Rattus norvegicus: one gene and its partners. The protein of the gene in region 2 interacts with the protein of the main gene of each other region in a pairwise test. Links are inferred from orthologs where the notes say so. Each region holds a gene or a part of one and is shown on either strand. Other genes may lie near its edges. The genes, in order: Pin1, Rbbp8, Lims1 and Rbl2.

What was found.
Region 1: the proteins of Rbbp8 (region 2) and Pin1 interact in binary tests that used the Homo sapiens proteins (3 or more experiments, as listed by UniProt). The two-hybrid records come from large-scale screens. The link is inferred for Rattus norvegicus from reciprocal best matches to the Homo sapiens genes RBBP8 and PIN1.
Region 3: the proteins of Rbbp8 (region 2) and Lims1 interact in a two-hybrid assay, tested with the Homo sapiens proteins (2 studies listed by BioGRID and IntAct). The two-hybrid records come from large-scale screens. The link is inferred for Rattus norvegicus from reciprocal best matches to the Homo sapiens genes RBBP8 and LIMS1.
Region 4: the proteins of Rbbp8 (region 2) and Rbl2 interact in binary tests that used the Homo sapiens proteins (3 or more experiments, as listed by UniProt). The link is inferred for Rattus norvegicus from reciprocal best matches to the Homo sapiens genes RBBP8 and RBL2.

The regions. Positions count from the first base shown.
Region 1 is NC_086026.1:27,464,268-27,468,499, reverse strand, and holds the start of Pin1 (peptidyl-prolyl cis-trans isomerase NIMA-interacting 1), read right to left. Parts: upstream 2,859-4,232; 5' UTR 2,853-2,858; coding exon 2,795-2,852; intron 1-2,794. UniProt on the Homo sapiens protein: Peptidyl-prolyl cis/trans isomerase (PPIase) that binds to and isomerizes specific phosphorylated Ser/Thr-Pro (pSer/Thr-Pro) motifs.
Region 2 is NC_086036.1:3,236,457-3,240,016, reverse strand, and holds part of Rbbp8 (DNA endonuclease RBBP8), read right to left. Parts: intron 2,755-3,560; coding exon 2,650-2,754; intron 544-2,649; coding exon 446-543; intron 1-445. UniProt on the Homo sapiens protein: Endonuclease that cooperates with the MRE11-RAD50-NBN (MRN) complex in DNA-end resection, the first step of double-strand break (DSB) repair through the homologous recombination (HR) pathway.
Region 3 is NC_086038.1:26,851,481-26,855,840, reverse strand, and holds the start of Lims1 (LIM and senescent cell antigen-like-containing domain protein 1), read right to left. Parts: upstream 2,832-4,360; 5' UTR 2,768-2,831; coding exon 2,736-2,767; intron 1-2,735. UniProt on the Homo sapiens protein: Within the IPP (ILK-PINCH-PARVIN) complex, binds to F-actin, promoting F-actin bundling, a process required to generate force for actin cytoskeleton reorganization and subsequent dynamic cell adhesion events such as cell spreading and migration.
Region 4 is NC_086037.1:32,093,594-32,097,892, forward strand, and holds the start of Rbl2 (retinoblastoma-like protein 2), read right to left. Parts: upstream 2,819-4,299; 5' UTR 2,753-2,818; coding exon 2,522-2,752; intron 1-2,521. UniProt on the Homo sapiens protein: Key regulator of entry into cell division. Directly involved in heterochromatin formation by maintaining overall chromatin structure and, in particular, that of constitutive heterochromatin by stabilizing histone methylation.

The DNA of each region.
Region 1 (4,232 bases), on a different chromosome or scaffold from region 2:
ATCAGTGCTTGCATGGCATTGTGAGGTTCTAGGTTCAAGTCCCAGGATCACATATCACCAAAAGGTAGAGTATAACTGTTTTTACCCATTGCTTCGTTCCACAAAAACCCAGGCAGCACCTCCCCCTCCTCTGCTCACAGCAGCAGCAGTTGTGTCTTGTGCATAAACAGAGAAAGTTACTCCAAAGCTCCAGTCTTTTTTTTTTTTTTTTTTTTTTTTTGGTTCTTTTTTTTCGGAGCTGGGGACCGAACCCAGGGCCTTGTGCTTCCTAGGTAAGCGCTCTACCACTGAGCTAAATCCCCAGCCCTCAAAGCTCCAGTCTTAACCCCTGCACTGGTAGCCTAAGTCAGAGAGCAAGGGGTAGCATTACTCAGGGCCTGATGTCATCTGAGTGGCTGTGAGGGCATAAAGGAGACAGATGGAAAATCAAAACCTCAAGGGAAAACTCTGGCTTAGTGGAACATGCTGTTTGCCTAGCACTAGGGAGGCTGAGGCAAGAGGATGGATGTCTGCAGATTGAAGCCAGTAAAAGTAAGTTTGCAAGACGGACTCAAAAAAGTGAAAGGTAAAAGAGGAGGAAGGGGTATGGCAGAAGCCTGAAGGAAGGACCCAGTAGATTCTGGGTCACTCCAAGGGCTGAGTCTACCTGGGTTACACAGCTGATCTAGCATAGGAGAAGAGCTGGATGTTACCCATGAAGGAAGGGCTTTTCATAGTCCTACTGAGAACAAATGACAAGCATAACTAAGCAGAGGGGCAGGTATAGGGGTGTGTGTGTGTAAAAGAGTTTCACTATGGGGGCTGGATAGATGGCCCGGAGATTAACAGCACCATCTGCTCCTCTATTGGACTGGAGTTCAATTTCCAGTACCCATGTGGAGGCTCACAACTGTCTCTTCAGGCTTCTTGGTGGGCACTGCATGCATATGGAATACACATGCAAGCCTAATACCCATACATGTATTTTTTAAAAAAGTGTACGTAGCCCAGGACAACCATGAACCAGATCTCCTCCTGCTTCTGCCTAAGTGCTGGAAATACAGCTGTGTGCCACCACACCCAGTTAGAGACAAGTTTATGCTAGAGGTCACAACCCCACCCTAGGAATGGAGCAGCCCAAAGCCTCTGGGGATAAATCCAACTAAAACCTTTGTCAGGTCACCTTCCCTGAACCTCAGCTTTCTCATCTGTAGACTGGGACAAGAGAATAAGGACATCAGAGCATAAAGGCTTATAACTTTAGTCCCAGTGCGTGAGAGGCTGAAGCACAAGGATCATGAGTTGGAAGCAAGCTTGGGCTACACAGCAAGACTTTACCTCTGTGTGATGTAATCCCAGCAGAACACCAGAGGTTCAAGGTCATCCTTGGATAAGTATCGTCTGAGCGCTCATGCTCGCTCTTGCGCACTCTTTCTTTCTTTCTTTCTCTCTCTCTCTCTCTCTCTCTCTCTCTCTCTCTCTCTCTCTCTCTCTCTCACACACACACAAACACACACATCTTAGAAAGGAAAATGGCTCAATGGGTAAGTGCTTGCAGCCAAATCTGACGGAGTTCACAATCTACTCATGGTAGAAGGAAGAAAACTCTTGCAAGTTAAGATTGTCTGACCTTCACATGCACATACATTAAATACAGTATTACTAATATTATTAGTAAAGATTGTTTCAATAAATAAATTGGGCAAAGTGGTGCATGCCTGTAATCTCAGCACTTGGGGGAGCTGAAGCAGGGGGATCAGGAATTCAAGAGTAACCTGTCTTTATGAGGCTCTGTCTAATGCCTTTCCACATCCACTCTTGATAAAAAGGTGGAAAGTGAATGACATTAAACCTAGCTGGGTTCAGAGAGTTAACATATGCAGTGTCCAGAACCTTGATGCTTAATAACTAAGAATTTTGAGTGAGCTCTGTAGGTTGCATTGACCCTGGCTACCTGAAATGCTTGTAGGCTACTCTAGGCGTTGCCACTGACACTGGGAAGGGGACATTTGAGATCAAAAAAAAAAAAAAATCATTGCAATCTAGGGCATTCCCAGTGACTGAACTGCATTATCAGATGAGTTCTTTCCATGTCTGGCCTCAGTTTCTCCCTCTTGAAATATGAGAGCAATTCCTTTCTTGAAAGATGGTAGCAACCGGGGTGTGGGGGGGAGGAGAGCATGAACCAAGAAAAGAGAGGGAGCGAGGGAGGAGGGAGAGGGAGATGGAGGAACAGAGGTGGAGGTGGGGATAGGAGGAAGAGGAAGAGTGGAGAGGTGGGTGGGAGAGAGAGGGAGGGGTGGAAGGAGAGAGTGAGAGAAGGCAGGAGGGAGAGGGGGAGGGGAAGCGGGAGCACACACCGGCGTAGACTTGTAAAAGAACTGAAGTCTTTCAAAGAGTTTGGCACCATGCTTGACCCAGAGACGAACTGTCCTGGTTAGGAGCCATCACTGTCCCTGGGTCCCGATAGGGGGATGAGCGGGCACGTGTCTCGGATGCTGCCCGAGAAACCAGAGCAGGGCGGCCCACGCCCTCTGCACCGAATCCCGATCTTCCTCTCAAGGGAACTCCGAGGTGCAGACTCGTCGCCTCAGAGCACCGGGGCCCAGTGGTGGGCGAGAACCGGGGCGCGCCTGTGCCTGCCCCACCTCCTACCTCAGTATCTGGCTTTCCGGGCCCGTTATGCCGCGGAGGAGGCCAGATCTCCATGCCCGAAGCAGGACGGTGATGCGACTCGCCTGTGCAGGCGAGCTCAAGCCCAACTTCCGCAACCTCCAGGCCTCGCCCCGGGCCCTGGGCGACCCCTAAGAGGTACCTGAGCTGCGACTCATACGCTTCTCCCACCCGGACGGCAGCTTCTCCTCGTCCGCCATCTTCCCTCCTGCCGCAGCGCCTGCTCCGCCTCCGCGGCTCTGACCCCGCGCCAGACCAGCGCCGCTGTTGATTGGCTCATCCAATCGAGACGCCAATTGGACGGCAGCACAACGCCTCGAGCTCTCGAGCCTTTTATTGGGCTCTCCCGCGGCCTCCTGGACCACCCCTACACACACCCTCCACCCACTACCCTCACCTTCCCAACACCGCTACTGATTGGCTCGTCTGGAAGCTACGTCTATTGGATGCTCCAACCCGGCAAGCGGCTCCCTTTAAGCGTCAAAAGGGCGCTCCACCCTTTTTGGTGCGCTTAGCCGATAAAATAGTGCTTATTTGACTGGCTCCTGCGGCAGCCAATCCGGCCTTCTCAAGCCTTTCTCGGAGGTCCGCCAGAATCCACGCGGAAGTGGCCAGCTGGAACTAAGGTACATGGGTGCTTTTGCTGTACTTTGCCGTTGCCATAGCAATGCAGTTGCCTTGGTGACAAAAGGCTAACTATTCAGAGCCTAAATTTGGCTTTTGAGTTCTTCTTCCCACCTTTTCCTCCAGATGTCCAAAGCGAAACCAGTCCTTTTCGGTTTTTGCAAGGCGAACCATTTCACTGGTTTATTCACCCACTTTCCATGTCTTTTTTAGAACCTACTTCGACTTATTCCTTCTCCATGGGCTCCTCCTGACTTCTAGGCAGGTGACTGATGGGTGAGAGCATTACCACTAGACCGAGGAAAGGGGGTAGGAGAGGGTGGGCGGCTCCAACGACCGGTTTTAGTCAACTGGTAGTCTGAGGAAAACGGTGTGTTAATGTATACCTTCAATCCTAGTACTCAGGAGGCAAAGGCAGGCAGTTCTGAGTTCGAGACCAGCCTGCTCTACAAAGTGAATTTCAGCACAGCTAAGGCTACACAGGAAACTTGTCTCAACAAACGAATGAACGAATCAAAAAAAAAAAAAAAAAAAAAAGACAGCTAGAGAGATGGCTCAGTGGTTAAAGCACTAGCTGCCCTTCCATTAGACCTTTCAATTCACCAGACCTGCATGTGGTACACATTCATACATACATGCAGGCAATTCATATATATAAGAATTTTAAAATGTTACTTTATGCCTAGTGCTGGTGGCAAACGCCTTTAATCCTACACTTAGGAGGCAGAGGCAATCAGATCTCTGAGCTTGAGGCCAGCCTGGTGTACAAAGTGAGTTCCAGGACAGCCAGAGCTACACAGAGAATCCCTGTTTCAAGAATTTTTAAAAAATCACTTTAAAAAACTATTACATTTATAAGGGATACCGCCATGAAAGCTGTGTAATCAAGAGGACAATTTGTGGCAATCTGTTCTCTCCTTCCACCATGGGGTTCTGAAGGTCAAACTAAAGTTGTC
Region 2 (3,560 bases):
TTTTCGGAGCTGGGGACCGAACCCAGGGCCTTGCGCTTCCTAGGCAAGCACTCTACCACTGAGCTAAATCCCCAACCCCAGAAAATTCAATCTTAAAGATGTTTTCTTACAATAAATATGGGAAGGAAACATGTTTTGGAGAAGGGGCATAAATGAACTGGCAAAATAAATTGTCTAAGCTTCAAGCAGCTCATACCCTAAGGGTCTGTCGCTCTGACTGCACTGAAAAGAGAGTGACAGTTTTGCTTTAGGCCTTTGTCCAATGATGATGGGCTCAAATGACTTCTTTCCTGCTCATTCTCACGAAGAGGGAGCCCTGGGTCTTCAGCACATCCCACCAGCCTGTGCCATCATAACCAGCTCCTCCTCAACTCTTTAAGAACAGATTTAAGTGGACATGTGAATTATTAACAATTCATAATTATCAAACTGAGTGAGTGCTTACAGATTCTTCTTGACCATCAAGTCCAAGCGTCTCAGCAACAACAGCATCTAAGTTAGAAGATAACTTGTCAGCGGGGTAACTGCTTGTTCCACATATTTCTAAAGAAGAAAAAAAAAACACAGACAATTTAAAAAAGATATAAAAAAATCACATAGAAGAAGAATCAATGCATGAAAATCACAAAGATTAGGAAAAAAATCAAGGTACCATTTTTAAGATGACAGTGGACACATTTTAAACTGTTCAAAAGGTCCAAAATGCTTTCTTATAAATAGCCATGTGTTAAGATATTTTAGCAGACAAATTATGAGACTTTTTCATTCATCTAAGTTTTCTACTTTTCCTTAAGTAACTTAGTACAACACTTCAGTTATACGTTGCTATAGTAAAAGGTAAAAAACAGAACTTTTGTTTTCTAAGGGAAAAACCAAACAGAATTTGCAGAAGCATGTAAAAAAAAAAACATAATAAAGGTTTAAATACATAAGGACCCTAAATCTGCTCGGGGAAATCAAGACAAACTATACAACTGGATGCCTAACATGACGATGCTGAAGGGAAAGGGAAGCCACCATTTAAGGACCGGGGGCAGAAAGCAAGGTTTTAGGTATCTTTAAGGACCCAGATAGATGGGACAAAATGGCTTTTCAGAGAACTGCGTATGATTTAATAGCTAGGCACCGACTTGTGGAAGATGAAAGCATAATATGAGCTCACGCCTGTTAACTAGGGGTCAGGGGTCAGATTATGCTGAAGAGTTCAGAATTTCTCCTGGGACCAAGGAAAAGGGACAAGAGTTTTGAAAGGCCAGACATAAATACTTGGGTAAAAGGATAATTCTGACTCTGACAGCCTCATAGCCAAGAACAAATCTAACAGGCAAGGAATGAAACAAAGTCCTAAAGCAGTCTTGAAGATGCTGGTGGCTAGAACAGTACAGAGGGCACAGAGAACACGTAGGGGAGTCAGGAGGCAGTGGATTAGTAGACTGGAGGACGTTTGAAATGAGGAGCAAGACCTCAGATGACTCGAGGCTGAGGAGGGAGTAACCTGTCTCCTGCTGGCCATTATTGTTAGTCCTCCTTTCCTACTAGAAGTTCTTCTTCTGGCTACTTAGATCTACTTCCTTTTAATAACCTCTAAATCACAACAGATACAGCTGCAACACTGTCAGTGTGTATGCGTATGTCTGTGTGTGTATGGGGCGGGGGCTTTAGGGGACTAACATGTCTTTCCCCTTTTATATAAAGTACAAATAACATAGAGTACACAAACAGATACAGTGTTTCTATAGTACTAACTCCATGGGGGCAATAACTAGGGTAGAAAATGTGTGAAATGATTTCTGGAAAGAGACAATAAATATCTCTGAAAACGGAGATAACGAAAAAAAATCACTGCTTAACAATGACAGAAGTAGGCTGGCCTCGGTACCTGAAACCTGTGCACCTACACTGATTTGTCCACCTACACTGACTTGCTTGGTTACCTCACGGTGTTAGGTAGTATGTTAACAACCTCCACACGTATCTCAGTACGCAAACCTTTCCTTCTAAAGAAGAACTTTATCTGAACATTTGTTTTGAATTTCAGACAATATTTTCAAAGCCAAACTTCTGAGTTTTAGCTTCTCCGAGTCCCTTCCATCTGTCAAGGGGCAGTTCTATTACCCCCACTGCCCAAATCTCTGCTGTCACCCATCCTGCTCTCACAGACTTCCATAGTGCTCCCCAAACAGACCAACTGACACTGGAGTTCCCTAGGACGGACACAGCTCCTGGACGCCACCCACTCCTTTTAGCCTCTGTTCTAGGGTCACTTTAGTAAGACTGTGTGTCCTTGCCATCTGTTGACTTCAGGTACTTGACTCTACAACATACATACAAACAAACATAAATTTGTTTTCTTCCTCCCATAATCAGACTAAAAGTTCCAAAAGAACAAATACTTCCTTTGTTCAGTGCCTGACATAGCAGAACCTTAAATACTTGTTTAATGAAGGGATAAAAGAAAAAAATCAAAAGTCTTTCTTACTTAATCATCAACATTTCACATAAGTTTAGATATTAACATGAATTAATATTGGCCTTAACATTACTTTCTCATATTAAACATATCTCTAAAACACTGGCTAACTGTGACTGTAGGTCTTGTTGCCTAGCAATAACCGCGACCGTACACTTATAACCACAGTGTTTACTTACTAGACAGTGGAGAATGACTCTGATCACAAGTGTCGGCTACTAGAATTTCATGTTCCTCAGAGTTAACTGGTGCAGGAGTTGAACCCTTGGAAAACTTTCTTAATTCTAAGGTGGGGGAGAAAGAGGATAAACAGTAAATAATGATAAAAAATGCTATCTAGCTTTATTCTGGTAAGTCAATGTAAATTTGTCTTTAACGCATAACCACCATTATTTTATAGACATAATTTGCATAATTCTTTAGTTCTACTGAGAAACCCAGCTATAGGCTAGGACAGTGGGAGAGAGGCCTGGAAACAGCTTGGTTGCTATGACCTGAGTTACCTCAGTAGTGACAGCTCGGTCACTTCTCATTGGGGACAAGGCACTAAGTTTACTAAAAATGTTACTGGCTCCTGTTTCTCTCTCTCTTTTTTTTTTTCGGAGCTGGGGACCGAACCCAGGGCCTTGCGCTTGCTAGGCAAGTGCTCTACCGCTGAGCTAAATCCCCAACCCCTCCTGTTTCTCTAAAATCTGTCCTGAAAGAAAACCAAAATGTGTTTTACTGGAAATCTCTACAGCTTAAATACTTAGTTCAAAGACAACCAAAGGATAAGGTAAAGGAACAGAATTATACTTTAATTATAACATGAAGATTAAAAAGTGCTTGACACTTTTAAGATAAGTAACTATGGTAAAGAAATTACCACTAGTTAAGTCATTAGGTCATTTAAAATTTTTTTTAGGTATTTCACTTTCTAAGTAAAAAAAAGAATAAAATTAAAATCAAGTTTTAAAGTCATATGCTTGTTTTTTACAATTAGAAAATAAGCCTTTATGGATACAAATAGCTACTAATAAAACCACAGCAGTTGTTCTCTGGATGTTCATAAGGATGAATTTAACCATGATATAAATTATACACATAGCTA
Region 3 (4,360 bases), on a different chromosome or scaffold from region 2:
AAGACTGCAAAGCACAGAGCAGTTAAAGAACTAAGATATTTCAGGGCTAGAAATACAGTGGTGCAGTGCTTCCCTTACATAAAACCATGGGTTTGACCTCTGCAGAAACCCATGAAAAACAGGCGAGACTGTCTTTAATTCCAGCATTCAAGAGGAGGATGAGAAACTCAAAACCAACCTTGGCTGCCTTAGTTTAGATCCCTGGTTACTTTATGTTCTTGGTTACTATGGCTACATAGCAAGTTCAAGGCTGGCCTAGACTATGAGACCCAGTCTCAAAACAAAACATCCCACCAGGCCTATTTCCCTCCTTCAGAAGCAGACAAAGGACACTGCAAATTTACAAAGACACTAAGTGCCACCAGAGTTTCCCTGTTCATGATGCAACTTCCCTACAGGAACTTTAGGACCAGGGTTGCTCTTCAAGTCTTAGTCAATAAGTCCTAAGAACCAAGTCAAAATCCTGCCTCAAAGAAAGAAAACAAACAAACAGATTGCCCAAGAATAAAAAAGACTATAGCTCTCATTCAAGAAATACTTTGGGGATTGAAGAGAGAGAGATGGCTCAGTGGGTGAGAAACACTAATCTTCCAGGAGACCCAAGTTCTATTCTTAGCAACTCACAACCACCTGTAACTCCAGACTCAAGGTCATCCTCTGGCCTATGTAGGTATATGCACATGCCCATATATATACATAACGTTAAAAAGAAAACCAGAAATACTTGGAAGGCCATGATAGTTTTACCAAATTCTTTACATAGAGGATAAGAATGTGAATTTCTCCTTTAAGTGTCTGTCCTTGATGAAATAAATAATACAGCCATTCTGGAAAAACATTCTGTTCATTTCTTAAAAAGCTAAACATAAAAATTACTATATAATCTGGTAAGTTCATATGCTTAGACATTTTTTATAGAAAGGTAAAACATGTCCACACTAAAACCTATTCATGAACAGCCACAGTAACTTTATTTTTAATTCCTAGAAGAAACCTGCCAATACCCCAAATATCTTTCAGGTACATCCATACTATGTATCTATGGCACATGAAAGGAAGACTGTGTAACTCCACTTATCTGGGGTACTAAAAAGTTAAAACAAGGGAGAAAAATGGTAGTTGCCAGGACCTGGGGGAACAAGGAACGAAGATCTGCTCAATGTGTACGACAGCTTCACTTTTGTAGCTGTCTGAGGGCAATGGCAATGGACCAATATGGATGTACTTAATGCATAAAAATGGGGACAGGGCACACATGGTGGTCAAGAAAACAGACAGGAGGATCACTGACAAACTGAAGGGCAGCCAAAGAGTGAGATTCTACACAGTGAGATTTGGGGTGAGGAGACAGGATCAGGGAAAGCCACCAGACCAGAAACATACTTGAGGGTCCTACAAAGACATCATTCTCTTGTAGTCTGAGATTATACTGTACATCCGTTCTTCTTTACAGCTCATTACCAATTCCCTCTCAACTAGACATTCCACACATCTTTCTTTTTCAGGTGAAAAATGTCCATGGTGAATACAATTGCTCATGTTGAGCACAGTGGTTATACAAACTCTTAACTCTTGGTCTTCTCTTCCTTGGTGCCTGGAACCCAGGGGTATGTGTGCATGCAGTGCTTCTGCTACATACCAAAGTAATCTATCTCAAGGAAAAGCACATGCTATGTTAAGCACTGTACTGAATTGGAAGCATTTTTCTTGAAGTAAGATTTGTTCAGCAAGAACAACAAAAAGACAACCACGGTGACTTAAGACTCACATTTAGGCAGACATTTCCTTGAAACTAAATCATGGGGACAACTGACAATATTTTGTTGACACTGAGAAAAGTTACGATTTCCACTGAAAATTGCAATGCTGGAAAATGAAGCATCTTGAGTTTAACAGCTTTGATGATGTTAACAAAAGTCATTGAAAGACATTAATACGATATATTAGCATCCAGAACCTTCCTTAATAGGGTAAGCCGATAAAACCCATTACAATGAGTAACAGTTCCATTCAAATACAAGACAGCCTGAGGAATTTTCATATAACTGTGAGCTCGGGTTTCATATCAAAACTAGCCTTAAAAAAGAAAAAAACACCTTTTGAACTTCTGGCTCTATCATAAAGAATACCCACAATTATTTGGGAAAGCTATTCGAATATTTCTCTTCACGCGGTCCATCTATTTAAAACCAAATTTCCTTTAAATAGTTCATTCAAAACACATCACAACAGACAATGCAAAAGGAGAACCCAGCTGCTTTTTTTTATTAAGCCAGACGTGGACAGGATCTGTAAAATATGTAACGGGCTATTCGTCTTAACTTTTCTGTTTAGGGTATACTATTTTCATTAAATTGCGTTATGTATGTTAATATATCACGTATTATTCAACGAATAAACATTTTACACGTCCGTGTTCATTTCTAATACAACAAATGTTAACAACAAATGAGTGATCCTAAGACCCTCTGTTTCGTTCTTCTAATCCGTAGAATGTATTTCACATTAAGATCCAAACTCTGGGACAGCATCTGCTCTCACACCCCTAGGCCGCACAGGACAGCTCAGCCGGACCACGAAGGCCTCTCCCGCCTCCGGCTAGGGCGGTGCGTGTCCGGGCCTCTGGCCAGCCGCAGGCCGCACGGCCGCGGGGAGGCAGAGATCGCCCGCCAGCCCGGCCCGGCCCAGAGTAGGCTCGGGCAGCGGCGGGTCGCAGAGCGCGCGCGCGCCCGTACCTGTTGGTCATTCCGGCCGCCACGCCCAGCATCTCCGCGGTCCACGCCGGGTCAGTCTGTGCCTCAGTGCCCGCCGCGGTGGCCGCACCCTCTTCCCTCGCTGCGGCGGCGAGCGGCAGATTTGAGGGCCGGTCCTAGGCAGGAAGGGGGCGGGACGAGGCGGCCCGCGGCCACTAGCCTGTAGTGGCCCGCAAATGGCGGCGTTGACCACGCCCCGAAGAGCGCCAGCCTGGGAGGCGTGGCTAAGGACCTCCAAAACCGGGCTGGGGCGGGGCGAAATTTTGAGAGGGCGTGGGACCGTGTGCTGGGGTGAAGTGTAGACTGGGGGGAGAGCCGGGAAAGGGGCGTGGCGAAGTCAAGGAGCAGCGGCTTGGAAGTGGAGCCTGGCGAGGACCCTCCAGCATTGGGCCGTTACAGGTCTTGGCCCCGCTCCTTAATTGTCATAGCTCCTCCTTCCTCCACTTAGTTCCACCCCCTTCTTCGGCCTGGCCCTAAGCCTGCTTTCTCCAAGTTTGGCTGTGGGTGCTGCTCCTGGCTCCAAGCAGGCAGAGAGGCTTCTGGGTGTTCCAGGGCTGGATGGCCACAGAGTCTAGCGGCCGGGAACACTTGGAAGGGCGTGATGGTCAAAGAACGAGTAAGAGTACCCGTGGCTTGAGGCTCTGACTCGACTCAACTTGGCGTTAGGCTACCTAATCGGTCTACAGAGCGTGGGTACAGGGTTCCACCCGACCTGCGACGGTCCTAAGGAGATTGTGCCAGTGAAGATGCCCTGCAAGTCAGTCTTCCAGGAATGGAGGTCTCATCTGGATTGGCCATTTCCAGTGGGAACTTCCTTGCTCTTGTTAGAATTTTGGCTGGCCTGCAAGATGGCTCAACAATTCAATCCCTGGTGGAAGGAGACAATCATCTCCAATTGTCCTTTGACTTCCAAACACGTATACACAATCAACCCAAAAGAAAAAATGTTGCCATTTTGGGATAGTTGGGTAAAAACTGGCTGCCTCTTGATTAGTGGTTTTTAGTTTCATCAGAGCAATGCCATTTGTGGAATGTGCTCTCAGAGCAATTCTACTTCTGTGGTTGACCAGTCAGCCACAAAGAAAGCTTAGAAAAGTATGGTTGTTCTAGAAAATGGGATTGAATTTCTTACTGCTCAGCTTGACAGTATCTCAGAATAAAAAAGGATGCCACCATCACAATTTCTTTAGTTTCGTTCTGTCTGTCAGCAATCAGCTTTTAAAAACAAAATTTGATATTTGGAAGTTTTTCACATAGGTGTGAATATGCACACCAGAAATACAAAGTACACACAAATTGAAAAAATGATGTGTATGAGTGCATTCATGTATGTCTACTTACCACCTATGCACCCTTCAGAGACTACAAGACAGTGTTGGAGACAGATCTGGGGTTACAGATGTTTGTGAGTTTCCCTGTCTGTGGGTGCTGGGAACTAAACTGAGATCCTCTGCAAGAGCACCAAACATGCTTCACTGCTGAGCTATTTCTTCAGCCCCACAAAGAATTATTGGAAGGAATATTCAAAATAAATAGTTAACTATGTATTTTTTTTCTGAGCTGTGCATAATGGTGCACACCTTTAATCCCAGCACTTGGGAGGCAGC
Region 4 (4,299 bases), on a different chromosome or scaffold from region 2:
TATGACGGCCCTTGCCCACGGCCTCTTCTAGTATGTGACATTGACATTCGTCCATGCATGGTACTGTCTCTGTTCCTTTACCTTGAAGCAGGGCAGAGTCTTATGCCCCTGTACATGATGGTCTTTATTAATACCACAGGTAAAAGTGATGCTATACAATCTCAAAGGTCACAGAAGGGAATGCTGATACCGACTGCCTTCATCTTTGAGGATGTCATAAACCAGCATACAAAGCGTGTGCCTCCCTTCAACTGACATGCTGAGAGAGAATATGGCAGTGGCCAGTTCTACACAGAGAGATGCCCAAGGAACCCTACCATACTGACACCCTTGTGACACAGTGCTTCTGGGTGAGACAACAGTCATTTTGATGCAGACAACATAGCACCTCCTTTGCACTGCCTGAATTCCCAAACTGTAGCATGATATCTACCCCAGCTTTCAGCAAGGATGTTAGGATCTAGGCTCAGGTCCACATGCTTGCATGGTATGTCACCCATCAAGTCCTCTCTCCTCCACTTAAGCACAGCTCTGAGCAATGGTTTCATACGGTGTTTGGTTTGGAGGACAGTTTTGGTTTTTGGTTTTTGGTTTTGGTACTGATGGGTATTAGAACTCAAGGCCTTACCACCAGACACAGTCCGCTACAGCACACCCTCAACCCCATGTTGTCACGATTTCCCCAATTATATGATTTCAAGGGAAACTGAGCTTTTCAACTACTGAGTTTTATTTCCATCAAGATCTGTTAGGAAGAATACAGGTAAGCAGTTAAATTGTCATCTTTGTTCTAAAAAAGGGGGGGGGGGCTTAAGGGAGATGAGAGAACCTATAACTAAATCATCCCCTGAAAAGGAAAAAAAAAAGTCTTATACATGAGGATGCTACAATGCAAGAGATAGGGGCTCAGGAAATACTCCAAAGTGAACAGATATTCATGCCAGTATAAGGTTGTTCGAGATGCACTGTGATAAACACCACAGCTAAAAGCAACTTGGGGACGAAAGGTTTATTTAGTTTACAGGTTACAGTCAGGAACTCCAGGCAGGAACCTGGAGGCAAGAGCTGAACTACGCAATGCTGCCTTCTGTGTACAGCCCAGGACCATGAGGGGTAGCATAGCCCACAGTGGGCGACATCACTTAGCAACTAAGAACATGGCCACAGGCATGCCCGCTGTCAATCTGAGGGAGACGATTCCTCAGTGAGGTCTCCCTCTTCCCAAGTGTGTCAAATTGACAACTGAAGTTATCACAAGGGTAAACTGGGCTAAGAATCAAGATTAAAACCTCACTAAACAAGCCAAATTAAAAAAAAATAAATAATAAACAAACAAATAAATGGAAAGCCTTGGCCAAACAAGAACTAGTGAATATGTTCTCAAAAATAATTTACTAATCCAGCAGGTTGAGCAAGTAAAGGTGCTAGGTGACAAACTGCAGATCTGATGGACCCCCCAGGATCCACCGGGGACACACACACACACACACACACACACACACACACACACACATTTACTAGGCATCTGTTAAATGTCAGTTGCATATGCGACACCAGGCTTCATATTGACTTCGTTTCTGTGAATTGAAGCCTCTGCTATGTTATAGTGCTTATTCTTGCTAATTTACAGTGCCCTCTCTAAGGTGAAGTAAGAGTTCGTTTGGGGGTCTCTATGTCCTTCAAGCCCGAAATTCCCCTCTTTGCCTGGTTCCAGGGAACACTAAGTCAGGAGGAAGGCGACAGCCTCTTCAGCCAGACGGCTTCAGTATATGCAATTATCTGCACGCATACACACATTGCTTTAGTTAAGCTTTAGGTCAGCACTTTGAGGTGGGCACAAATAACAAAACTGCTTACACAACCAAACTGAGTTTCACTGTGGTTGCAAACTTGCCCAGAGTCACTCAGATCTGGGTCTGAAGATGTCCTATTTCTTTTTTTTGTGGGTGTTAACAAATGGAGAGAGGGAAATTCAATGTGTGACGGTTTTTAAAAAATAGAAATAAACCAACTCAGAAGAACGGCACAAGTCCAGCCATCGTATTATAGTTAAATAACATCTTGTTTAGCCTTCGGATCGGGGGCCTCTTTGCCCCTCTCTTTCAGAAGCTATATATAAAAGCAAAGGGCCATCCGCACAGGCAGCGATAAACAATCCGGACTTCCGTGTCACTTCCCATTGGCCCACACAGGGGAGGTGCCTGCAGAGTTGACAGACACTGGCCCAAAGAGCCATTTTCGTCAACTGCAAGCCCCGTCCCAAGAACGGAACATAACAAGCCTACACCTGGATGACAGCCAAAAAGAGTGCCCGTGCTCAGCAACAAATGTTGTGTGTCTACACCCGCTTTTCATTGCCGGGGTTGGGGGGCAACAATCCTAAGCCGTTCTCACACGGAAGCAAGCCGGAAACTTAATGCGTCTCCTAAGACGGCTGCACAGCAATGGTGCGGTGCAAACGACCAAGTGACCCCAGAGCCACCCCGAGTCCCCGACTTCCGCGGAGGATCTGAGCACGCACCTCCAGCGTGTAGCTCTCGCTCATGCTGCGGTAGCTGCTCCAGGCCTCGGCGCGTGCCGCCTCGTCCATGTTAAGGCGGCTGCACAGCTCTTCGAACCGCTGTTGGATCTGATGGCTTGGGGACCCTGCGGGCTGCGCCCGGTCCGCGGTGTCGCCATCCTCCTCCTCTTCCTCTGAGCTGGCTGCAGCAGCAGGAGGGGGAGGTGACGACTGGTTGCCTCCAGATGCCATGGCACACCCGGAGGCCGCGGCTCTTCAGATGAGCTTAGGGCCCGGGCCCACAGCCATTCAAACCGCGAAGCGCCGGCCCGTCAGCAGCCCGTAATGCTACTGTGCCGCCCCCAGAGTTTCTAGGTCCCATGTGGGCACCCGTAGGTCTGAGCATGGCCTGCTGGGAAATGTAGTCTTGGCCGGGCTATCAGGGGAACCAAAAGTCATGGAAGAAGAAAGCAAAAATGCGCTGTTCTTCATTTAGGAGCGAGTGAACGCGCCCTCTCCCATTTTTTTTAAAGCCTCTCTCAATAGTGAGGCCATTCATAAGGTTCTTTTGAAGAGAAAAGGACCAAAAAATATCGACAGGAGAAGCTTTAGTATACAAGCTCTTTACAACACTTCCTCCTCCTAGAGGAGGAAGCTAAAAGGTCCAAAATAAAGATAATAGTTTGGCTGCCTTTTCTAGTTCACGTTACTGTTGCTGAGATAAACACTGACTGTAACCAGCTCGGAGGGGAAAGGACTTATTTCATATTAGTCTTTACAGTCCATCATTGAGGGAGGCTAACACAGGACGCTGCTTACTGGATAGTTCCCTCTTGCTTGATCAGCTACTTTCCTAATAAAACCCCTAGCCTCCACCTCCGCGGCTGCCCACCTGCCTAGGCAAGACCCACAGACCAACCCAACAGAGAGGATTCCTCAAGTGAGACTCCTATGTCAATACTATCTATGGCCAAGGTATAGTGAGCTAAGATTGATCTCACTAACCAAACTAAAGCAAAACAAAGAAACCCTCAACCAAACAATCATGAATGCGTTTTCAAGAATAACTGAAGATTTATATTAGCCATCATATAACCGCTCCTAGGTGAGGCAGAGGGTAAAGTTTACTATAGATAAAAGGAAGAGTGCAGAGCAGGAATGTTTAGGTGAGTCCACAGAGGACAAGACCCTGAGCCACATGACGGGGGAAGGGGATGAGAGGGGGAGGAGAGGGGAGAGAGGGGAGAGAGGAGAGAGAGGGGAGAGAGGGGAGAGAGGGGAGAGAGGGGAGAGAGGGGAGAGAGGGGAATCCGGTGCAGTAGTCAGGAGGCCCGAAGGAACAAAGAGCTAGAAACTAAAATGTCTGGATGATATAGGGAAAAGCAGGAGGCTGGCAAGGGTAACAGGTGGAGGTTGAGGGTTACAGGGAGAACCCAGCAGCCAGGTTCTCTTTGAGATGTTAGTCACCTCAGCCATTTGTCCCAGGTCTGAAATTTAACAGCACCCAAGGGGCTCAGCATCAGTGTTTGTGACTTGAGGTGTTAAAGCTACTGAATCTCTAACTAAGCTTAGATGTGAGGTGAATCCCTAAGAATTTGTTCTTGGAAAAGAAACTTTATTGCATGGGCTTGCCGGTGGAGAAGAGAATCTAGCAGAGATGAGCACATTTGATTGACAAGGGCTGGGGAGATTCTCGGTGGCAAAACATCTCTCACCAGAGATCAACCCTTATAAGTCACATATGTGTGTGCATGCATGTGTGTGTGCGTGTGCGTGTGTGTGTGTGTGTGTGTGTGTGT